Kluyveromyces lactis: one gene and its partners. The protein of the gene in region 1 purifies or fractionates together with the protein of each later gene. This does not show direct contact. Links are inferred from orthologs where the notes say so. Each region holds a gene or a part of one and is shown on either strand. Other genes may lie near its edges.

Region 1 (5,982 bases):
GTCTACTAACGGGCGTAAGCTTTTCAATTCGATTTGATCTTTGGAAAAATTGTGGGACCATCTATCTGGTGGTATTCCTTCTCATTTTCTTCACTTTAATAGTATAACATCATCACTAAATGATATACCGAATGTAACGCGCAATGCATGTTTTCATAAAGCTGTCTAATACCTTTCATCTCCTCGGAACTCTTTATAACCACGGTAGTGTTGTCTTGATAATACTCGTATTCATTGCCCTTGAACATATCTCATTTCAATTTCCTCGTTGTAATCCTCTTAAAACGTTTCTCATCTTAAAACATACCGCAAAATGTGTTGGAAGGAACCTTGTTCTTGAACAACTAGAGACATCTTTGCTTCTTACTCGTTCTGTTTCGAAAACGACTACCTAATAATAAAGTATCCGTTATTTAAATATAATAACACTAATATATCATTGTTAAGTAGCTTTTCACTAATTGAACACTATGATTTTGCAAAGGTTCAAAGGTTTCCCTCCATACAAACTTGCCATTCGGTAAAACCACTATAGAACGATTGTCTCACAACCGCACAAACCAGAACTGGACAGAGGCCCAGCATACTCTGTCACTGAGCAAGATCGGTCTAGTGGTGCATGTTCCCAGCCTAGGAGCAGAAGGTGTCGGTAGGAGAAGCAGAATCAGGGGGATGGAAATTCTGTCGGGGAGGAGAAACTGGAAAGAACCGAGGCGTCGGCACACCTAATGCCCTGTCTTTCCTTAGGCACGGAGAAAACTCAGCCCAAAGTCTGAAAAACGTTGGATGGGTTTCCTAATCAGGAAACTTGAAGGAAAGGAAAAATTAAACTATTATTCGGTTATAGGCGCATTGAAAATAATAAAATGCACGGGTGTATAAGGCTTCCGACAACAGTCCGAAATGGTTGCGTCTGTTTGTCCTCGATTTGGATTTTACAGCTTGATGATGGCCACAGCATTGGTCAATTGTCTTTACAAATACGGATGTCGCTAACTTAGATAAACAGCCGTGTAGCTATTTTCATTTTATTTGTGACGTTAATATACACACATACATATATATACAAGTTGTGGATGAGTTGGTGCAATGTGGAGTTTATTATTCGAAGCTTTTATTTTAACTCCCGTCTGATGATCAGTATCTCGTTCCATAATCAAACAACGTGAGTAACAGCCAGGTATTCTAAAGCTTCCAATTCAATAAAGATTCTGTGAGCCTTAAGTAGATCGTTGACATCAACAAATTCTTTTTGGACGATGTTAACTTTATCTTGGAATCTTTCTGTAAATGAAAATAATCCTGGCCTTGGTTCGTTAATAACGAATAATAGCTTCTTGTTCTGTAGCTCATAGTGCTTTAGGAATTTTTCGAACACGATATCGCCATCTTCTGAGCCCTCCCCGATGGGAAGAATTTCCAATTCATTTAGATCAGCCTGGCTTGTTTCGGAGATTCCGTCACCACTTCCGATGACGAAGACGTTACCGTTTCTGTATTGATGACTTAGTGCGTTATTGAATGCTAAAGAGTACACTTTCTTTGGGAGCGCTGTGGTATAATCATTTGGTGCAGTTCTTGCTAGAGCTCTACCACCGTTATGCCTTATTGGTGAATTAGCGTCACCAGCTCTGGCCATACCAGATCCCTTTTGTGGTAAAATCTTTCTTCTCGAATAACCAACATCACTTCTGCCTGGGGGGTTAGAAGACCCAACACGTTTACTGTCATTTTCGTAAACAACAGCACGCCATAGTAAGTCTCTTCTCAATGGAGCATCAAATACTGAGGTTGGCACTGGTGCAAATGTCAATGGTTCTAATGATGGGAATGAACGAACCGTTGCTAAGGTATATTTTGGCGGTAGACTAGCATTAGGAAGGGGTTTGTTGGAAACGTAACGGACCTGTAGAGAATAGGGAAAAGAGTAACAAAAAATTACGAGCAATAGTTAGTAAATCGATCTTCTAAAAGTAGGTGATATAACTGCTTAATGCGGAAGGATATCATCATGCAGTTTGAGGAAAGCCCGCGCTTTACCATTGCAACAGTGATGAAAATGGGTTTGACATACGTTTTTGCACAAATTCAAACCTTGTCTCTTGGAAAACATGGCTGATTCTGATACACTGACTTAATGTCTCGATACAAAGGGGATCAATTGGACACTCCTATGTCTGATCACCGCAAACAAATCAATCATCTTTAGTATTCAACCTATTTCATATTCAGATTTTTGATTATCGAAAATTTGTCTACCATGTAAAATATCCGGGTAATGTTAAATTGCCCGAATTAACGATCAACAAAACTGTCATCTTGTATGAAAGCATACAACGACATTAAGGGTCGCAGTTTATGGTAGTCCCGAATGTCATATGTAAGCGGATTCAATTTGCAGTAAAAAAAAATCCGATTTACGCTAGCAGAACAACAATTGTACTTGTCCTTTTGTTATTCATCGATGGTTATTTAAATGGAGGACTTTATTCTGACTGATTATATGAAAAAGAAATCAATATAACCAAAAAAATTCAAAAGCTTCAAGGCTCATCTCATCTCATCTCAGTATTATTTAGCATGAACAAAGCCAGTAGTCGTTTCCTTTGTCAGTAAGCGAGCGATACGAGTCTCCGTGATTACACTTTAATCAATACTTAACATAAAACTACCCAGAGTAAGGCGATGTCATCCAGAACAAGATATTACTTGGAACAATGTATTCCAGAAGTTGATGACTTAGTGCAGAAGAAGTTATTCACTAAGAATGAAGTAAACAAAATTATGAAGAAAAGGACTGATTTTGAACACAGATTGAGTTCGAGAGGTTCAAGTATAAGTGATTACATCAGATATATTGAATACGAGAAGAATGTCGATGCATTAAGAATGAAACGTGTTAAACGTATCTTGCAATCGAACAAATCAAATAGTATTTCGGATTTTACCATACAGCAGAGGATTCTCTATATTTTCCAAAGAGGCTGCAATAAGTTCCCAAAAAAATTGAAATTTTGGTCTTTATATTTGAATCATTTAAAATCAAAGGGTACAAATGCCTCTTATAAAAAGATTCAAAACGTCTACAATCAATTGCTCAAATTACATCCAACAAACGTTGACGTTTGGATATCATGTGCTAAATATGAATACGAATTGCACGCAAACTTCAAGAGCTGTAGAAATGTTTTTCAAACTGGTCTTAGATTTAATCCAGATGCTTCTAAACTCTGGTACGAGTACGTTAAATTCGAACTGAATTTCGTGACAAAATTGTTAAATAGAAGAAAAGTGATGAATTTAATCAACGAAAGGGAACAAGAGCTAGATATGCTACAACAGCAAGAGGAAGGAAGAAACTCCAGTAATGTAACAGGTCTGGAAGAAACTGCAGATGACGAAGCATACTTTGACAAAGACGGAATTCAACTTCCAAGTACTGGTGACAAGATGAAAGATAAACTAAACGAGTTACCAGAAGCCGATATGAATATGCTTGGATCAGAAGAAACTAATCCAGCACTACGTGGTGATGTCGCATTGGTTATATTCGATATCGCAATGAAGAATCTGGGCACATCTTTTGTCAAGAAACATCAAGGATACTACGCCGTTACCAATTCGCAAGTCGATGAAGAGCTCAGCAGAAACGTTATGTCCTACCTGTTTGATAGATGCCTCGAGTATATCAACTTATTTTCGGAATTTCAAGATTTAAAAAGAGAATATCTGATAAATCACGTATTGCAATGGCTAAAGGACGAACATTATAATATTTCCCTTGAGAAAAGTATGCCAGAAAAATATGTGGAATTATTATTGCATGATGTTACATTAAATATCAAATTCATGCCTGCCGGCGAATTAAACATCGACAGTCTCCAATTGTCCTTCAAAAAGTATTCTGCATACATCAGCAAATTAGATGAGACGAATGCCAAACAACTTACTACATTATATTCTGGTTATTTGACCCAACATCTATTATCCAATATGGATAAATCTGATTCGAAGTATGCTATTTTGAATGCTATTATCAAGAAACTGTAATGAGACACTGTATACACATTTTTATGTACATATTTGACATTAAGTAGTAAGGTAAGCAGTGGAGCCAATATTTCCACAGTTTTATAACTCTAATTAAACCCAATTCTGAGAAACGAAGAAATCATAGATTCTGTTGGCCTTCGTTGCCTCGATATTCAATAAATCACGACACTGTTTCTTCGAGAGTTGACCTGCAGTCCGTATTAATTCTCTGAATAGTACCTCTTTGATGGCAATGTAAGGCTTTGGCAAAATTTTCAACGTTATGCATAACTGCTGTTCCTCAGCTGATAATAATTGGAAATCTGCCCCATGCTGAATGTCACTGATAGTCATTAGTTTCTTACGTCCACTTCCTTCGTTATAATTTTGAGCATAATCAGCTTGCGATCTATGGGCCGAAGTAGCTCTATAACGGGCAGTGTTACTAGATGAAGAAGAAGAGTACACTTGACTTCCAAATCTTTCCAATGTCATAATTCTTGCTTGTTTATCACGTTCATATTTAAGACCAGCTTCCAAAGTAGTGATACCGTTGCTCCTCCATTCTTGCAATTGATGAATTCTTGTTCGACACCGAAGTTCTTCCAATATGTCTTTGCTGAATTCTTCAAAATCCAGCGGGGACATGATTCTTGCGAAAGCCTTAATTTTGTTGTACAAATCTTTGGTTTCTTTTGAACGCTTCTTATCGAGACTTTGTAGTCTCCTGTATTCCATCAGACAATTGTCAAACAACAAACGCTTCTTTTCTGCTCTAGTCGTCAATCTCGAGTTGTAGATGTCAAGAATAGCCAACTTCACTTCAATATCTAACGGTTGATCATCGGCGTCGAAGACCATATCTTTGACCGGACCTTCGGCCTCATTCTCGAACTCCGTTTCGAATTCCAATCTACCTGGCATAAACCCTTGCACTTCATGGCATGACGGTTGTGATGCCATCGGTTTCCTAGGAGGTTCCAAAGGCCTTTCCCTAAATCTTTCCATGCGTTTCTTTCTTTTCTCCAAAAATTGTTCTTGCGGTTCATTAATGTCTTTTGTGATATCTGGAATAGGATAGTGTTCACTGTTCAAGTAAAACTTCAAATAATGATCATAAACTTCTTCCTTATCTCTAGATCCGATATGATCCGCAATATCTTGCCAGTTACCTAATCCCAGTGTCTGGGCTCCTTTTATCAACAGTAACTCTTCATCAGCGCCCCAATCCTCACAGAGAATCGGGTATGAGTTGGTTTCAATCACTTTATAGTCATGGCTTGGCCGGTGCTTACCGTTGTATAACCCTTTTGCGAAGCATGGCACACATAAATCATACTCTGGACACACCGCACATGTTATTCTGACTCTGTTTGTACAATCTGCAGAACAAATATCACAATGGAACTTGTTAGACATGGTGACGGTTGAACAAGGAGAAGCAGTTCAAAGTCAAACAGATGTAAAGCTAAATCACTATAACAGTTTGCGGGTCCTCGAAGTTAGTTATCTTTTTATATCAATGAGTTTGACTTATTCTTTAAACTCTCTTGAAATCACTTGTTGATTCTTTAGAACATCATAATTGAACTTTCCATGTAAACAGGAGAACAGAATGCGGGACTGTTACATCCTTACATTCTTATTAAGGATGAAAAATCTGAAAATCCTGAAATTCGAGAACGCTAATTTCATAAAATTTGATAAAACCAAAAGAGGAAATACTACTTGGCACTTCGTAAGAGAATTGGGACGGAGGGGAAAGGTGTGTGGACTGGTACTGGAAGACAGAATGTCTGTCTAGCTTGCTGTCATCCACACGAGACGCACTTTCGTTCCCGAGTCCCATCTCTGCCCACTTTGGATGCTACCACGCACTCTCTTACCAGCTGTTCCTTCGGTAACATTGTGTCCTCCAGTGACACCTTCTGCCTAGCTCTGTCCAGCTTA
Region 2 (6,663 bases), about 610 kb from region 1:
AGTACGCGATCATCATTATCACAGTTCACAACCTTACCGACAACACTTTGACCTCTTCTGAAAAATTTCTTCCAATCCTTGATAAAGGCATCCGTAAGCTTGGAAACTGGAACGAATGCTTGCAATACACTGCTCAAACTAATAAAAACACCTTTGTCAGTGATAGATTTAACAAAACCACGAACAATATCACCTCTCTTCAATTCAGAGGAGGAGATGATGGTACGGTCCTTTGGAGAAGAAGAACGCAAGGATAAATTGATCTTGTTATTGTCTATGTCAACATTCAAAACTGTGGCGGAAACAATGTTCTTCTTTTTGGAGTCATAGACATCTTTCAACGATAGAGAATAATCATCTAAAGCATCGGTTATGAATGAAACACCAGTAACATCTTTACCTAAAGACAATAAAACGTAAGTATCCTGAACAGAAATTACCCTAGCAGGTAGAACATCGCCTTCTTTAATTTCTGAAATAGAGGAGATGGCGTGCGATCTAGCAGAAACAACTAGTGAATCATGCTCAGTATCAATAGATTTGACGGTTACTCTGACAGCTGTACCTATTGGGTATTTCTCTTCAATTGGTAAGGAAAAGTCATGACCTTCATCTGAGATCTCAAAGATTGGTAGTTTGGCCTTGACAGTAGGAGTGATAGTCAACCATGCGGTATCGTTGCTATAATTATTAATGAATCCAAAGGTTGTTTGCTCTGGAGTGAAGTCCTTGAGTTTCTTTTCGGAAACTGGAGAAGTTAATGAAGATGGCTTTGCGCTCAGTTCGACTAGATGGCTCTTGGATGTTGTGTGAGAAATTGGTAAGAATTTACGGCTTTTAATATCGTGGAACCCGATAACTCTGACTGAGAGTGAATCATTTTTCTTGTACACACTTAATGGTGCCTTTTGTTCTTTGATATCTTCGAAACTGTCGAAAACTTCAGAAATACTGATACGACCATGTACATTATCAGCCAACGTAACGTTAAGCTGGTTCTTCTTAACTGATGTAATTGTAGCCTTTGTAACCTTACCGATAGTGAAGTCCGACAAATCTTTGATAGACTTGTCGACTGGGTTAATTACAGATGAATTGATCTTCTTAACATCGGTCTTTTGTTTTAAAATAGTCAATAAAAATCTTTCATGTTCCTCATCTGTTCTCAATAAATACACGGTCACGGATTGATTGATGTAGTATTTCTTATGAATATCAATATCTCTGGTTTCTGCTGCATAACTTGGTAAAACCAAACCGACAAATTTACCATTGAATGCAACAAAAACACCACGGTCAGAAACAGATTTAACGTAACCATGCATCGGTTCTGTTTTGTCTTTATTTTTGATGTCGGAAAAACTTAAAGGAAGGGTACCGTCTTCAGCATCTTTAATCAATGATTTTTTACAGGACATGTTGAACACATGAGTCCTGATGTCCTTGTCCAAAACCAAACCTCTAACTTCAGAGTTAATCTTTAACTTTTTCTGCGAAGCTCTGTTTTGTTCAATTCTATCATCTGACAAATGGCCGGTGTAAATAACACCGCGCAACCCTGAATCTTTAGATTCTACGATGACGGAATCTTTAGTCTTTTCAATAACAATTGCATCGATGATAGATTTACCGACAACTAAAGATTCAATAGCACTCTTTTGCTTGGAAGAAGACTCTGCTGAAATTTTACAAGAAGCAATAATTCTGTTTCTTTCGAAGTCATGATTCAAAATTTTAACCAAAACACTTTGTCCTAGTCTTAAGTGTTCTTGTGGTTTCTTTACAAATGCTTCTGAAATTTCTTTGTTTGGAACGAAAGCTTTGATATTATTAAAGAACGAGATAACACAACCATTAGGCTTGAATATTTCAACAGTACCAATTGTTTTCAATTCTTGACTTTCAACAGTCTGAATATCATCATTTTTGCAGACTAACGTCACAGATTCTTCGTCTGCATTTACAATAGACTTTTTCAATGTCACAGTGACACGGCCCACAGAATCGACATTGAGAACTCTACCTTTAACCTTTGAACCAATTTTGAATTTTCTTTCAGGATACACAAGTCTGGTATCAGATATGTGTAAGGGAGGAACAAATGCCTTAAATTGATCATTGAAAATTTTTAATTCAATACCTTTTCCTGACACTGTGACAATCTCACAAGCGCTCAAAACTTCGCCTGCTGGAATATCGGACGATCTTAGGTATTTGACATCAAGTAAGGCTGGATCAGACGTCAATGTGTAAAGTTTATCTACATTGTTATAGCCGAGTATTCTTGCTTTCACAGTTCCCGTTGGTTCAGTTTCTCCTGCCTTTGACAAATGAATTTGTCCCACCTGTTCATTGTTGATTGATACGTAGAAAAATTGACTATCCCTGCCTTTAACTGTGCAAGAATCGAAGATATAGCCAACGGGGAAAGATTCTAACGCTTCGGTCTCCTGTAATTTTGGATGCAATGAGATGATATGAGGTTGTGTGGAAACGACAGCAACTTTATCGCCGCTTTTCACTATAGTGGTTGCCAAAATTCTAGCATTGACTAAGTCACCAATGGAGTAGTGATGCTTCAAATCCTCTACCGTAAAGAAATTGGAATGTGGCAATGGCAAAAATGCAGTTATTAGACCGAAGGCTTTACCGATAACACCGTGATTTGTGATAGTTTGAGGTAAAAAGTCAATCGATTGACCCGGCACGATGGCATCTATGGAAGAGATCTTTTCGACCTTGGTGTTTTTACTGGCCAAATCCAAGTTGACATTTACAGTTCTACCAGATCTTTTCGTCACTGTAGCTAAGAACACCATACCTGGTAACAAAGAACTGAATTCAGGTATATCCTTCTTTGAGATAAAACCTGTTAAGTTCTCAATACCGATATCAAGAATGGCACCGTGATCTTCTATACTTTTCAACGAACACTGTAGTGGACAGTTTTTAGCTAAATCATCATCTTCAAACACGTTTACTACAGAGGGTTCGATGGATAAGTCTAACTTTTTGTTCTTGTTTGATTCTAAAGCGCTGTTATTTTGTACCATGCACCTCAACCATTGGCCTATTTTGAAATATTTATTGAGATCAGGTAATTCTTTAGGAGTTGTTATGTCGCTTTCATCATCTGAAGAATCGTATTCTGAGTCCTCATTTTTTTCATCATCGCTTTCCATGGATTCGTCCAAATTTTCCAAAATCTTGGTCATTTGTTCAGAGATATCTGTTAATGAGACGTAACCATGCAAACCGTCCACCAAAGATATTTTCAGTTCATGTTTGCTGATCGATTGGATTTGACCCAAGACAATGGTCCCTTTGGTCATTTGTTTCATTCCAAAATGCTCAATTAAATCAGTCTTGTCCTCTTTTTCTTCATCATCACCTGTGGTAATTTGATCAAAATTATTCTTAGCATTCTTCTTTTTCTTCTTCGTTGGGCCCTCTGCACCAGTAGCTGATTCATCCTTGCCAAATAAAACATCAGCAACCACTTCGTTACCAACCTGCTTAACTTCCAATGGGGATAAAGCAGAAGAACCACCTCTTGGAAATGAGATTTCCTCGGATTTACTCAATGCAGATTTGGCTGGTGCTTCGGTAGCATCCTGTCTTACTAAAGGAGACTCATCGTCTCTCTTTCTTTTACTTTGTGGAGCAACCATGTTTGTGATCTTTTTCGGTATTTAGATATGCCTGTTTTCAAAACAAATTACACCTAGCAATTTAGATGTAAACCTATGTTTTTCTTGAAGTGTCTTGCAAACTATTGAAGCTCCTGTTCCCAAGTTGTTGTTGTTTTTGTCTTCTGTGAAGATAGAAACCAATAAAGCCAATAGAAAGCACAAAGCAAAAAGAATTCAGAGAAAGATACAAAATATGTTATACCAAACTGTTTCCTGTTTGAGAAAGTAAACCAGACTTATCTTTACCAGAATTAAGAAAGTTGCACTTGGTTTCTAGAATCAACAAAGCTCAGAAATGTGTTAGCATACCAATACAAATGATCCAGCACTTAAGTAGCTAAAGCTCATCTCATCTCATCTCATCTCATCGCATCGATTTTTGAAAATTTTCAATATTAAAAAAAAGAAATCAAAACGACATAGACGAAATGTAATCGCGCCTTTGATGCAGTGACAGTTTAATAATGGAACGTTGTACAGATCTTCCGTTGTTATCACTGGAGTTTGTTTGAACCGTATCCACGGATTAGGGTCTTTTGAATGCATGACATACTTCTTAACTATTAAGGGCTTTTGTTAGCCAGTTATTCTATCTTCTTAAAGAGGTATAATAATTACATATCTGTAATGGTGGAAACCATGTAACTAAAAGGTTCTAGGGGAGTGATAAGAGTTTTGTTGGTCATGCTAAGAAAAATTTGTGCAATTACGAGTGGAATGCCTTCTATGGTAATAGTTTCAGATCAGACTATATGTTTTTTCTCTTTTTTGTTCAATTTCATTTCTAAAGGTACTTTCACAGCCGGAAATATTTATTATAAGGCATAAAAGCACCATCATATTACAGTCTAAAGCTGTTTCTGGCTCCTTTCGATCCATTTTCAGGGGCAGTCTATATATCTATCGAACTACGAGAGTTTTATCAACACAGTAAAGTTCCACATTGTAACGTGAGGTATCATTGGCCTGCCTTTTCTCCTATCCTTCCTTATGTATTATGTGTCTTGGTATGAAATTTCATTAAATCAATTATCTTCAATTTATCAACCTACATTCTCATATATATCAGAAACCTTTAAAAAGTAATATGGAGTGGATTCTATCAATAGATAAGGTCGACCAACGCACCTTTGAAGAGGGACTCAATGTCATCATTCGACAGCAGATTTACAGGAATACCCCATAGTGCGAATAAATCAGCAAGACCGTCCTTTTCTTCGACAAGGACGGGATCCAGCGCTAATACAACTACTTCATCAGCAATCTTGGAACAAAACAACACAGAACCATATTCTGGTGCTGCTGTAGAGACTGTACCAAGTTCTATCGTATCTTTCTATCATCCACATTCATTCCAATCTAGTGGTTATGGTGCTAGTGCTGGCTCTTCCACTAATTTGGAAAGGCGTGGTAGATCATCAGAACATGACCCTTTACTATTGAGTACAACAACCTCTCGTCGGTCTAGCTCTTCAAGAGGTCGTGGATTCCAGTTTTTCACAGAAGAACAGGTCGAAAATGCTGAAGGTATCACTTCTAGTGTAGAAAATGCTGATTATGATATGGATTGGGATGCCATACCGACATATGAGCAAGAACGTCTACATATTCAACCGAGGTCATCGAAAACATCATTGAGACAAGATGGTAACGACTATGCGATGAGAACTTTTACACCTAATCGAAAGTATTCAGTACGATCACGTAAAAGTGAAGATCGGTTGTACTCTACTTCCCCACGTTCTTCCTCAAGTTCCTCGAGATACACTCTAAGAGATAGAATTCCTGCCGAATTGGAAATTTCCACTACTCACGATGTAGATGATTCGGAGCTCAGATCGTCAGCTTCGTCAGAAAGTGAGGATGAGGAAGCTGAAGCTAATGACGATTACAATTCAAGAGCAGAAGAAGATCAGGAACAGAACAAGAAATCTTACCACTCTGAGTTCTTAAAGCCTCAGTACCATTCAAGATTTTTCCCCAACAACGTGCCATATTTGCATTATCAGAGATTTTACATCGCCGAAGAAGACCTAGTTGTTGCGATAGCTGGTTATCGCACATCAAGATTTAGGCTACAATGCTACTATCTACTTTGTATTATCACTTTGGGACTTGCATTTCTAGTCTTCAGATGGAAGCCGACCATGAGGGTGAAGATGATCGGGGAAAAGACACCATTGGGAAAAGCTGAATGGGTGGTTGTAGAGAATGAATTCGGAGAACTCACTGTCGAATCGGTGAAAAGAAGATGGTATAATAGACCACTTAGTACAGTTCTTATGGAAACAAATGAGGATAGGATAGGAACACCAGAAAGTCGTCACTATCATCATCACGAAACTGAGTGGAACCCTAATTTGCCCATTTTGATTTCTTTTCAGTATAGATACTTTACGTTGGTGTACTCACCAATTGATGATATATTTAGAAGCAACAGCAATTGGGCTGATCCAGATTGGCTGGACTTGGAAGTTGTTCAGCACGGGCTTACATCTTCTATCCAAGAAGACAGAACACTTGCATTCGGTAAAAACTCTGTCAATTTGAAACAGAAAACCGTTACAGAGATTTTATTTGATGAAGCTCTTCATCCTTTTTATGTTTTCCAGATCTTTTCAATAATTCTTTGGCTGGCGGATGATTACTATTATTACGCCGGATGTATCTTTCTCATCTCAGTCTTATCCATCATCGATACGGTGATAGAAACGAAAAAGAACTCCGAAAAACTAGCAGATATATCGCACTTCAATTGTGAGGTTAGAGTGTATAAAGACAGATTTTGGACTCAAGTGAACTCATCTGACCTAGTACCCGGAGATCTCTTTGAAATATCAGATCCATCGTTAGTGGTTTTACCTTGTGATGCTGTTTTAATATCTGGTGACTGTATTGTCAACGAATCTATGCTAACGGGAGAATCTGTTCCAGTTTCAAAATATGCGGCCACAGAAGCCACAATGGCTCA
Region 3 (5,144 bases), on another chromosome or scaffold:
TGTGGCTAGAATGAAATCGATATATCAGGTTTATTTGGATAGAAACGGTACTGTGAAAACCATTAGAGAAGGAAATCCGGTGCCCGAAGGGTTCCAACCGGTTGCAGAGTTACCGAAGGATGCATCAAACATAATTACTGAGAGCTCCAACTCCAATGAGCCTACGAATCCATCCAATATACCTGAAAATTATCAAGCCCAACCGCAACATGAGTATTACCAGAATGGCTATTCTCTTCAGCCGGAAGCCCCACAGTACCCAGAGGAAAATTATGGTAGAGGTACTCAAGCTGATGGCAATACCCAATCACAAGATACAGCAGCGTTTGAAAATCCTAACTCGAACGCACCAAACCAATATTCAGACCCTGCGCCAAGGGTAGCGTCATCAATTTATGACACCCAGTCTCAGTATCATAATGACCATCAACAAAATCAATACTACTACAATCATCAGTATTACGGACAGAATCAGTACGATGGAAGTTTCCCAACATATCACAACCAAATACAGCATAATCTCCCCCCTCCTAATATGGAAAGCATCGAAGAGCTCCCACGACCATCTAATTTACCATTTAGCGGTTCCTCTCATTCGTTAACGTCATTTAAATCAAAAACCACCCTTAAGTCACCAGCAGCAGCAGCTATGACACCACAAAATAACCATAACTACAATCCAATCGACCATCCAGAACTTTATTTCCACCAAACAAACGGATCAGATTTGGGATTATCCTCAGATCAAGCCTCCAGCAATACAACACCATCACAAATTAACTCTGCAGGAAGCAAGGTATTACCTCATCATTTGAGACAATCCGTGGTGATGACAAATCCAAACGAGTTGTCTCAAAATAACCTTTTCAAGCCAGCTGGATCATTCTCTCGTGCTGTAGCGGATTCAAGATCCAACAGTTTGATGTCAAATACTAACACTTATCAACAACAGTTACAAGACACTTATATTAAATCGAGAGTAAGCGGTATTCTTGACGACACCGACGTTATGCATCCACCAAGCATGGGGACTATTCTACCGCACTCCGGATCGCAAGAAGATCTAAGAAAGCAGTTGGGCTCATCACACAATTACAATGTCATGTAAAGGGAGCATTATTTCCCTTTGTTTTACCATTCTGTTTTTTTAGACCTCTTTTGGAGTCTTGTTGAATACAATCCTTACGTGTTTATATGCATTATCCGGCATATCCATATACATTGGAACCGAGCTCGAAGCAAAAGATTGTAATTAGAATACTTTTTCTTATGATACATATATACCACTACTACTTACTTTCCTTTCAAATTTGTAAAATAATAGTTTTTGCCCTTTTTCCTACTTCCGAAGGCAAGTATAGCAGGATCAATCTAGGCATCGTCAAAATCATCGACCGCGTTTCTATAACGTAGTACAGTCTTCTTGATCTTGGATGAATCTGTCCATGTAACGTAATCCTCCAAATTCCTTGTTACCAAATATGCTGGATCTGTAATCAAGTTAGGTCCTACTCTAACATGACCTTGTTCAATGAATTGAACGGCATCCTTGAGTGTCTGTGCCATCTTTAATCTATGCATTATTACAGGCAATCTACGACGACAGAAAGCCGAGACTGTAACTTTATTCTCTAGTGCTGATATCTTGGATTTTGTTGAAAGAATGCCCATATGATATAGTTTCTCTAGCAAGAGCTGCTCGTGCTTGATACGGAAGGGATCTGTAGGTTGTAAAAGCGATAGCTTATGTGCCAAACGACGCACATCACCACATATTCTGTTATATTTATGATAATCCTCACGGTTCTGGATATGGTACGTACGCATCACCTGCGTATCTCTGTGGTTCTGGTCCTGTTTCCATTCGTAGAAATCGACCTTCTTGAGAAGCTTCTGCTCATGATGTTTCAATGCTCTTACCATACTGTATTACCTAGTGTATCTGCTTGGAGTATCCTATCCTTATATTGGCTATGAGACCACCAAATGACTTGCTGAACGCTCTTGAAACCACTTCAGCCTGCTATATCATTCAGTAATTGAGATGAGATGACGATGCGTAGGCGATGAGCTTGAAATTTTTCAAAAAGAAAGGGCAAAGATCAACAAGTCACGTGATGCACAGGATAATATAAGCACAAGGTATTTACTCCTGTGTTTCGACGAAGAGCAGTCTCCACATCCCATTTCGACCCAGGAGTGGCCTAGATGGTCACCAATCGAGAGTAACAGCCTAAGTATATCTTATTTAACAATCGTCAAAGCAATTAAAGTTACCCTCCCATACTATCTCACTATTAAAATTTTGATTCCAAGTGAAAAATTGGTTGAAAGACGCATAGAGATGAGTGCTGGAAGAACAGATTGATATAGACGCATTTGATCTAATATACCCAGTCATATAGCGGCTGCAAAGTGGGCTAGACTATTTCCAGGATATACACAATTACCATGACATTTGTTTCCAGAAGACTCTTTTCTGTGTCGGCTCTTCTGCGCTCACATATTGGTTCTTCTCCGGTGTATTTGACACCGGAGACCAAGTTGGTGGTGGAATCAATGAAACTGCCAAAGATCATCAGAAAGGGTAACAAATCTCTTAAGTTATCTCAGAACGTAACTGTATCGGGTCCTTTGGGGAAGATTGATATGGAAATCCCAGATTTCGTGGAGATAAAGCAGGATGGATCTTCGGGAAAAATCGAAGTTGCAGTGAAGGATTCTACCGACAAGACGCAAAGATCCATGTGGGGGACGGTAAGATCTCATATAAATAATCATATCACAGGCGTGAATGAGAGCCATATGGCTGTTCTGAAGTTCGTTGGTACCGGTTACAGAGCTCAATTGGAGGAAAATAACACCTTTGTCAACGTCAAAGTCGGTGCGTCGGTAAGACAAGGCCTACCTATCCCAGAGGGAATCATAGTTAAGTCTCCGGTACCCACGTCGTTGATCGTGGAAGGTGTCAACAAGCAACAAGTGCTACTCTTCGCTGCCAACTTGAGAAAATTCCATCCTCCAGAACCATATAAGGGTAAAGGTATCTACGTTAACAATGAAACTATCAAGATCAAGGATAAGAAGATCAAATGATGACGATAGAATGATGATTATAATTATTATAATATTAAATAACATGTAAATACAGAAGCATAAACATACACTTCCAATAACCGTCAAGGGCACACTTAATTTGTGTTAAATCAGTGAGAGAACTACGTGCCGTTTTAATCACGTGATCTATAGGTAACTTTATCGATTCAAAAAATTTTCAATATCGAAACAGCTTTAACAATTATACAGAGATGGAAACAGGTTTCAATAGAGTCTTTAAACTACATTTTAAATCCTTTACAGTTTCTCCAGCATTGCCAAGAGGTTATCTGGATTGACACATTTGTTATCAATCGACCAGTCTTTGAAAATTGGGGAATAATGGCATTTATTGGCAGTCCTTCGTCGAAGATTTGGACAAGACTTTTCTCACAAAGTGGAGTATCGAACGGTGCCAAGTTAGTCGCACCATCCGTGGCAAGCAGCATTCATCTAGATCCTGTAGATATTAAACATTCTCCAGAAAATGCGCTAAAGAGAAGAAGATTACCTCTACGTTGTGGTGCTTTGAGTAAAAAAGTAGGGATGATGCCGTATTTCGAGAAAGAGACTGGTAAACGTATAGCAGCTACTGTACTTCAGTTGGACAATAACGAAGTTATACTACACAGAACTCCAGCTGAAAACAATTACTGGGCTTGCCAAATTGGTTATGGTAACAAGTCGCCGGAGAATGTTACCAGACAAATGTTGGGACATTTCGCTGCACATGTTGTGAATCCAAAGGAAAAAGTTACCGAGTTTAGAGTCAAGGACGAATCTGGACTACTACCAGTGGGTTCTTTAATCAAACCTTCGTGGTTCAAGCCTGGCCAATACGTTGATTTAAGATCAATCAGCAAAGGTAAGGGTTTCCAAGGTGTAATGAAACGTTATGGATTCAAAGGTTTGAAGGCATCCCACGGTGTTTCCGTATCTCACAGATCTGGTGGTTCTTACGGTCAAAATCAAACACCTGGTCGTGTGTTGCCTGGGAAAAAGATGCCTGGTCATATGGGTGTCGACACTGTAACAATTCAAAACGTGCAAGTGCTGGACGTCAACGACGAAACAGGTACTGTCTTGGTGAAGGGCTCTGTCGCAGGTCCAAATGGTGCATTCGTTAAGATCCAAGATGCTATCAAAAAGCCAACCCCAGTATAAAAAACTGTGATTAAGAAATTGAATCTTTTCAGTCGTTTAGACACCGTCCCGAAATCATTTGGAAAGCATGCCTTTCTACGGTTATTATTAACAATCTATACCTGTATATACACCAATTATAAAATAGTAACTGCTGCAACGTTGAGTGTCCTTTTCAACCAGATATTTAATGGCTTTCATACGTTGATACTGGATCCTGGGTATATGTCGGAGAGAATTGATTACAATTTTTTTCTCTATGTGGGAAGATATACGGCCTGCTATGTATATATTTGCCTTGCTTGACAAGTGTTAGTTTCAGCTTTCATTGGATCCGCAGAAACTTTTTCGTTTCTTGACCATGCTGTACATTTCTGTAAGGTGTTATCTTTACTCATCATCATCCAATTCCGATGGTTTCAATAACCCACCGATCTTGGAAGCTCTTTCTCTTTCAAGTTTATGTTGTTCCGCGAGAGCTTGTTCTTTGTCCTCTGCGAACAAATAATCGGTTGGATCTCCACCGAACTCCTTGATCTGGACCAAGAAATCTCTAATAGTACCAGTGAAATGCTTTGGATCATGATATTGTTTGAGTAGCGCTTGAATGAAGTTCATAACCTGTTCACCACTCAAATGAGGGAATGCATTGCTTAACATGGTTGCTAGATAGTTAGCCAAGTAAGCTTGATTAGAAGTGACTGCAGGAGCTTCATCTTCCTTGTATAATGGTACAGCTATTCTATTTTCTTCTACTCTGGCAATCAAATTCATTAAAAGATGAGCTTGCTTGCTGAATCCAGATTTGTGATCTGAATCAGTGAGGACATAGAAGGTTTCGCTAAGGAATGTGAAGTAATAGTTCTTGTAGAAATCGTTAGAGAATTCAGACGGACTAGCGGAAT
Region 4 (6,805 bases), on another chromosome or scaffold:
TCTAAAGAAATCTCCAAGGCGAGTGTGGTCGATGATATCATTGAATCCAACCAAATTCTCTACAATGACAAACTGGGTAACAAGATCGACCACTGTATCGTTATCAAATATATGCCAGCGGTCGGTGACTCTAAGGTTGCCATGGATGAATATTACAGTGAATTGATGCTTGGTGGTCATAACAGAATCTCCATCCACAACGTCTGTGAGGATTCTTTGTTGGCTACTCCATTGATCATTGACTTGTTAGTCATGGCTGAATTCTGTTCCAGAATCAAGTACAAGAAGATTAATGACCTTTCAGGAGGTTACCACAGTTTCTACCCTGTCTTGACTATGTTGAGTTACTGGTTGAAGGCACCATTGACTAGACCAGGTTTCAAGGCTATTAATGGCTTGAATAAACAACGTGCTGCTTTGGAAAACTTCTTGAGATTGTTAATCGGTTTGCCAGCATTGGACGAGTTGAGATTCGAAGAAAGATTGGTTTAAAAGAATGCTAATGCTGCATGCTATTTAAAGATAGAATAGAAAGAAAAGAAGTAGTTTTTACATATATGAACCCCAACCAGATACGTATCTAGTCAACGAATAAATATATTCCTTTCCACGATATTTCCATGATATTTCTTATAACCCTATTCTGGATTACATGCTAGTCATTCCTTAAAGTGTCAGTTTTTTTTAACTTCACAAACTAAATGTTAACATCTGTGCTCAAATGAAAAACAATAACAAAAGACCAAAAACTGTAGATGAAAATCGATGTCGATGAATTATCTATAACTTGATATTTACATACCTTGAGACAGGTTATATATTTAATAAGATGCATACGGTTTTAATTTATGGACGTAAATCTAGCGAACAGTTTCGAAAACTCTCTTCTTTGCAACCTTTTTCTCATGCTCTAACTGCGAATAGTCATCAGTGAACTCCAAGTTATGTCTTAAGTTCCATTGCTGTTTGATGAAGTTAAGACCGGCGATGTTAAACCCAAGATCGTCTGCATTTTTTTGCAACATTGTTCTGATGTTGGTCTTCACTCTTTCAATTCTCTGTTTCAATTCTTCATTCTTTTGAGCGACTAATTCCTTATTGTTCGTGCGAACTATAAAGAATAGGATTTTACAAATGAGACTTAGATGTAACAACACTAAATCTTTTTGCTTCATTATCACATCAAAGAATTTGAAGAATTTGATAACATATGAGAATGGGAGCACAAGTAAAGAATCTTCGAGTTGTGATGGTTTAATTTTCCCTAGTGTGTCCATGATGTATTTTTCCGGTTTTATTTTCATGGCAATTAAGATGGCGTTACTTTGAGGTTTCATTGGTGGTTCACCACTTTTCTTCTTTTTCCATGACTTAAGAGATTTTTCGTAATTTTCCCAGGATTCGATCTCGGCTACACCTAAGTCTAGAGCTTCCATTAACTTTTCACCTGCTTTTAAAGACTCAAGAGTTTGCTTATTAACACCACTAACCTCATCAATCACTCCGTCATCTCCACTGTTTTTGTCCCTAAGGAACTGATCGTCTCCTGATCCACCTTCTAATGATTTCAATAGTGTTTCTTCATACTCTTCTTCCATCTCTCTTTCTTTCTCTTCTTCTAAGAATACCTGATCGTCAGTTTCTTGCCATACTCTAATACTATGATCATGAGAAGTAGACACAACGGTTCTTCCATCTGGTGACACTGCAATACACCACACTTCACTTTGGTGACCATTGAGCTTTTGAATACAGTCAAATTTGTCACCATCCCATCTCTTGACAGCACCATCCTTACCACAACTGAAGAAATTATGAGTGTCGGCTTCGAATCTTACTGACATGATAGAATCTTGATGAGCAAATATGGACTTGTGACAGTCACCAAAGTCAACACCCCAGATCTTGATGTTCTTATCTGCTGATGAAGTAATTAACATCTTGGAATCTACAGAAAAATCAATAGAAAGTACAGGTAGTTTGTGACCATAAAGACTTAAGTAGAACTTCAAAGAATCGAAAAAGAATACTTTCACAGTATTGTCTAGTAATGAAACGGCTAAGTATCTATCTTCTGATGATATCTTAACAGCCAAAATATCATCAGTTAGTTCCAAAGTCGTATCGTGGACTAATTTAAGTTGAGGAATGTATTTATCCTTTGTGCCTGGGACCAATTGTTCAACAACCTCGAAATCCCAAAATTTACAACTTTTGTCCGCTGAACCAGTGACCAGTCTTTTACCATTGCTAGTCAAATCTAATGACCAGATTGCTGCCGTATGTGCTTCTGTAGTAGATAGTAATGTAGAACTAGCCAAATCAAATAGCTGAAGTTCACCTTGTCTTGTACCCACAACCACCAATAATCCACCAGGTAGCATCTGGGAACACAACGCATAACCACAGGAAAAGGTACGGATACATTTCTTTGTAGTTAGATTCCATACTTTCAATTCTCCGTTAGATGCTGTACTCAATAGTTTCCCATCATCACTGATGTCCATAGATCTGATATCAGTTCTATGACCTTGTAATTCGACGTTATACCTTCTCACTGGTGGTTCTGCATCTCTTTTACTGTATGGAATTTGATAACTTTCAATGGTATTGTTAGAAGTTGTGAGAACCACTTCCAACTTGCTATTACTTGCTTGAATCCAGTTGGAGGATTTAATTTTGTAACTTGAGCGTACCGTGGAGAACGAATGGAATAAAACGCTGATATCATTTGGGTTAACCGCCTCCTGAATTTCCTCTTCAGAGGCCCCCTTATCCCTTAGCCTCTTTTCACGTCTATTAAGAGCTTTCCTGATCTCTTCTTCCGGTCTGATACGGAAGATTTCTATTGTCTTGTCGTTATTCTGGATATAGAAAAACCTGGTACCGTTTGGTGCTGTGATAAATTCAGTGGAAACACCTCTTTGCTTACTTTCGGTCTCGAAAGTACCACGTTCTGAAATTTTTTCTCCATTACTCTTCTCTAAATCTAATTCCCATATCTTGGCCTGTGAATCCATCGAGGTGGTTATTATGACTTCCTCATCGATTGCCATCGACCAACATTGACCAGTATGCGCCATATGCGTCTCAACACACTGACCACCAGCCTTAAGATCCCATACCTTGATAAGACCATCCTTGGCCACACTAATAAGCCAGTCCATATTATGGTCTATCCAGATACCAGTAATGGCATCTTTATGTGATCTGAGTTTCATCAAACCAACTTCACCGACTAAATCCCAAATGATCAAATCACTGTCTTTACTACCAGAAACTAATCTAGTACCCTCGGAATCCAATCTCAACACGGTAACACCACTCTTGTGTCCGTTAAACTGCATCAATACACTTTTAGAAAGCAGATCCCACACTTTAATCACACCATCTTCGTAACCAACACATAACAACTCTGTTTCCTTGTGGAAACACATCGCAGTTACTACTGAAGGTTTAGAAATATTAGTCTCTACTGCACCGATAGGTAGCCCATCAGTAAGTACTTCCACCTCATTAGTTTTCAATGTCCATATTTGAATATTCTCCAGAGCACCTGTAATTAGCTTGCCAGACGTTGAGTTCGTAGCTGGAAGATAGATCGACTGATTTGAAGTAGAAATTAACCCAAAAAGACCACTTTGTTCAAAACGTTGATACGATTTAACCATTGTGTATCAATTTAAACTCCACACTGCGGATAATAGTAGCAATAACTGATATCTTACACAGGGTTATAGTATATAAGTTTTGTTATACTTGTTCTTGAACAGCATTATGCGATGAGATGAGATGACCTTCCATAGTTTTTAACGTTTTGGAAAATTTTGAAAAATACAACTTGAAGCCATGAAAAAGAAAAGGGTGGTTTATACATATATGAGACAGGCAGAATAGGACAAAGAGTATTAAGAATCAGTTTCCCTGGACTTGATTATGCATTGTTGTAGGTACTCATCCACTTCTCCATTTTCAATATTTTGAGGAATTGTTACATTAATAGATATATGATATATGATGTATAATATATGCATCAAATTAAGTCTGTTTGAATGAATGAACTTGTTTAAACAGTGGTAATTTATCCATTTCACTTCTTTTCGGGATGTGTACGTGCAGTTTTATTGTTATTGATTGCATTTACCATTTGATTGTACGAAGGGGTTGGATTCCATTTCTTGGTGCTACGGATTTCATCGTTGGCAAACCCTGGGATTCTGATATTCCAATTACGTTCCAGATGCATTTGGATGTCTCTTACGTCGAGTGAATCGGATTTTCTATGTTTTGCCAATTTACAGGCGAAATTCGTAACATTAGTAATGAAATCGTCTGCTAGATCGAGTAATAGCTCTTCCACATCACCATCAATGGTGGTTTCACCATCACCTTCGTCTATACCCACCGTTTTGACGAGTTCACGGAGCTTTCTTTTAGACATCACACGCTCAGTATCGACCTCATATGGCGGTAGTTTGGTCATAACAGGTGTAGTTAGCGCTGGCGCGTTCATACCACTACCGCCTGTTATCGTAGGTCTGTTGCTTCTGTATGACACTGAAACTGTTGGGGATGCGGTGACATTTTCACTTATTGGTATCGATGGGTTTGGTTGCTTGAAGATTGGTGGTCTTGTATTGCTTTGTGCTGTTTGATTTGCAGCTGCATTCACCGTTGTCACCTGCATTGGGGACGATTTGTCAGAAGCTGTGTTATTTGGTGCGGCAGCTGCTGAGCTCGGGTTTGCGTTTGTTGCAGTTGCAGTAGTTGCAGCGGTCTTTTGAATTGGTATATTTTGTCTTTGCGCCATAGCATTTGGAGGACTACCACTCGAAGCTTTATTCAAACTTGTTGGAATTGGTGTACCGGTGTTGGTTCCTGGAGTAGAAACACCAGCCTGAGGTCCCGGTGTACCTGCATTTGCAGCTACTGTACCCTGTGACTTAGCAGCATTAGCTTTTTGTTGCTGTGCTTGTAGATATCTTCTTAAGTCAGCATTAGTTTGAGAACACTCAATGTAAAACTTTCTTCTGTCCTCTTGATATTTCTGTTGTAATGTCGAATACTGGGCACTCAATGCCCTGATTTTCATTAATAATTCATTCCTGTTAACCTCTAATTGCTGCACCGATAGACTGTTACCTCGTCTATTCCTGATCTCTTGGTCCAAAACACTAATATTTCTCTTCAAAAAGTTGAATTCTCCCTTGATATTCTGACCGTCATCCTCATACTTTTGAACCAATCTATTGTAAGCTTCACGCTGTTGAGGAGTTAATAAGACCTTTATGTTATTCGTCACATTATTGGAACTGGCGGTAGCTTGTTGTTGCTGCTGCTGTTGCTGCTGCTGTTGCTGCTGATCCATGGATTTAACATTCGTGGCATTATTATTTACAGCTCCCTGTGCTCCAGCCTGCGCTTGGGCCTGCTGCTGCCTCTGTTTACTGTAAGCCTCGTACAAAGCCTTAATACGGGCCGCTTGTCTCAATAGCTCTTTCCCTTCCTTGGTATCTACACCAATTCGCTTAGCTTCGTTAACTAACGATTTTAGTCTATCCGCCAATTGCTGCATAGAAGCTGGCGTGAGGTTCTGCAGCTGTACATTACCTGCTTGGCCTGACATTGTCCGTATCTTGGTTCGTAATCCGAAATGCACACCGCAAGCCCACTTTAAGTGTCGAAATACCCTCGTGCTGGCCTTCTTTGCCCCCGTTTTGCCCTTGCTTTAACCTCGCGGCAACTACTTTCGATTGTTATTCACTTGTTGATCTTTGAAATATTTTTGAATTTTGATGCTGAAAGGAATAGGAAGACAAGTGTTACCCTGACAACATACACAATGCGTATATATGAATATATGTATCTATGAATATGTTCATAAGCGATATAGGTGTTTGCGCTGCATCACAGCTTGTCATTTTCTTCCAAGAATTCGTAATATTCGTCTATAAGTAGCGGCCAAGCAGCCATTTCATCATAGTTTTGTTTTAAACTTTCGTCATTGGGGTATTGTTCAATGAACTTATAGAACATCAACCATATATCGTTTGAGATGTTCTGTTTCCTTGGATCCGAGTCGTCAGAATTGATGAATTCAAGCCATGAATTAAGTCTCTCCTTGGAGATTTTCAACGCATATTTATTGTCTTTAAAGAAAATATTCCAGTATTCTATTGCGACATCTTTAGGTAAATGACGAGATCCCTCGTCTGTATTCAATGGGAAAGTGTAGGAATAGATTGATTTGAAATAATCTTTGTCCGTCTCCAGTCTCTCTTCTAGCGTATGTAAATAGGCTTTCATCTTTCTTAAAGTGTCGCAACATAAATCTGACCAGGCATTTAGGAATTGTTCTCGAGATACTGGTTTTGTTAAATCGTCGATGCATAGCATTTGAGAAAGACATAGCGTGATTGGGTCCTCTATCGATATACCGAGGTCTTCAATAAACCGTATTAGCCCAGAAGAGTCCCATTCTGTTGCCGAAACGCCATTCGAGTACTTCTCAAAGATAGCCACTAAACTGGGATTGTAAGATTGACGCATACCTCCAATGGTATCCACATTATCATAATAATCGTTCAAAGCGTACTCGACACGCCCTCCATTCTTTCGAAGGTATTCCTGTGCAACAGAGTACGTGCATCCTGTGAGGTTCATGAACTCTTTCTCCTATTTTTCCAAATGATTATTTGATTAGCATTTGTTAGTAAAGGTGTCATTCACCTGACCAGAGGGTAGAGGCATAGTAAAAAACATACCATTATAAAAACACAATACGATGAAATTTCTGAAGGGTTGT

The links.
Region 2: the proteins of UTP6 (region 1) and RRP5 purify together in Saccharomyces cerevisiae (affinity purification with mass spectrometry, with the first as the bait; 3 studies listed by BioGRID). This does not show direct contact. The link is inferred for Kluyveromyces lactis from reciprocal best matches to the Saccharomyces cerevisiae genes UTP6 and RRP5.
Region 3: the proteins of UTP6 (region 1) and IMP3 purify together in Saccharomyces cerevisiae (affinity purification with mass spectrometry, with the first as the bait; 3 studies listed by BioGRID). This does not show direct contact. The link is inferred for Kluyveromyces lactis from reciprocal best matches to the Saccharomyces cerevisiae genes UTP6 and IMP3.
Region 4: the proteins of UTP6 (region 1) and DIP2 purify together in Saccharomyces cerevisiae (affinity purification with mass spectrometry; 5 studies listed by BioGRID). This does not show direct contact. The link is inferred for Kluyveromyces lactis from reciprocal best matches to the Saccharomyces cerevisiae genes UTP6 and DIP2.

Annotation. Positions count from the first base shown.
Region 1 is NC_006038.1:117,995-123,976, reverse strand, and holds UTP6 (snoRNA-binding rRNA-processing protein UTP6), read left to right. Parts: upstream 1-2,685; coding exon 2,686-4,050; downstream 4,051-5,982. Other genes in the region: RPS18A (40S ribosomal protein uS13), read right to left, coding at 308-354; YML6 (mitochondrial 54S ribosomal protein uL4m), read right to left, coding at 1,157-1,906, 2,075-2,113; chromatin-binding transcription regulator ADA2, read right to left, coding at 4,144-5,451.
Region 2 is NC_006038.1:726,858-733,520, reverse strand, and holds the start of RRP5 (Rrp5p), read right to left. Parts: upstream 3,672-6,663; coding exon 1-3,671. Other genes in the region: YPK9 (putative acid anhydride hydrolase), read left to right, coding at 4,838-6,663.
Region 3 is NC_006041.1:1,424,102-1,429,245, forward strand, and holds IMP3 (snoRNA-binding rRNA-processing protein IMP3), read right to left. Parts: upstream 1,924-5,144; coding exon 1,372-1,923; downstream 1-1,371. Other genes in the region: KLLA0_E15973g (SKG-like transmembrane protein), read left to right, coding at 1-1,108; MRPL6 (mitochondrial 54S ribosomal protein uL6m), read left to right, coding at 2,452-3,096; MRPL9 (mitochondrial 54S ribosomal protein uL3m), read left to right, coding at 3,439-4,260; exportin CRM1, read right to left, coding at 4,630-5,144. UniProt on the Saccharomyces cerevisiae protein: Required for the early cleavages at sites A0, A1 and A2 during 18S ribosomal pre-RNA processing.
Region 4 is NC_006040.1:1,375,750-1,382,554, reverse strand, and holds DIP2 (snoRNA-binding rRNA-processing protein DIP2), read right to left. Parts: upstream 3,672-6,805; coding exon 861-3,671; downstream 1-860. Other genes in the region: inositol-3-phosphate synthase INO1, read left to right, coding at 1-492; TAF12 (Taf12p), read right to left, coding at 4,091-5,626; NEDD8 ligase DCN1, read right to left, coding at 5,908-6,675, 6,765-6,805. UniProt on the Saccharomyces cerevisiae protein: Involved in nucleolar processing of pre-18S ribosomal RNA.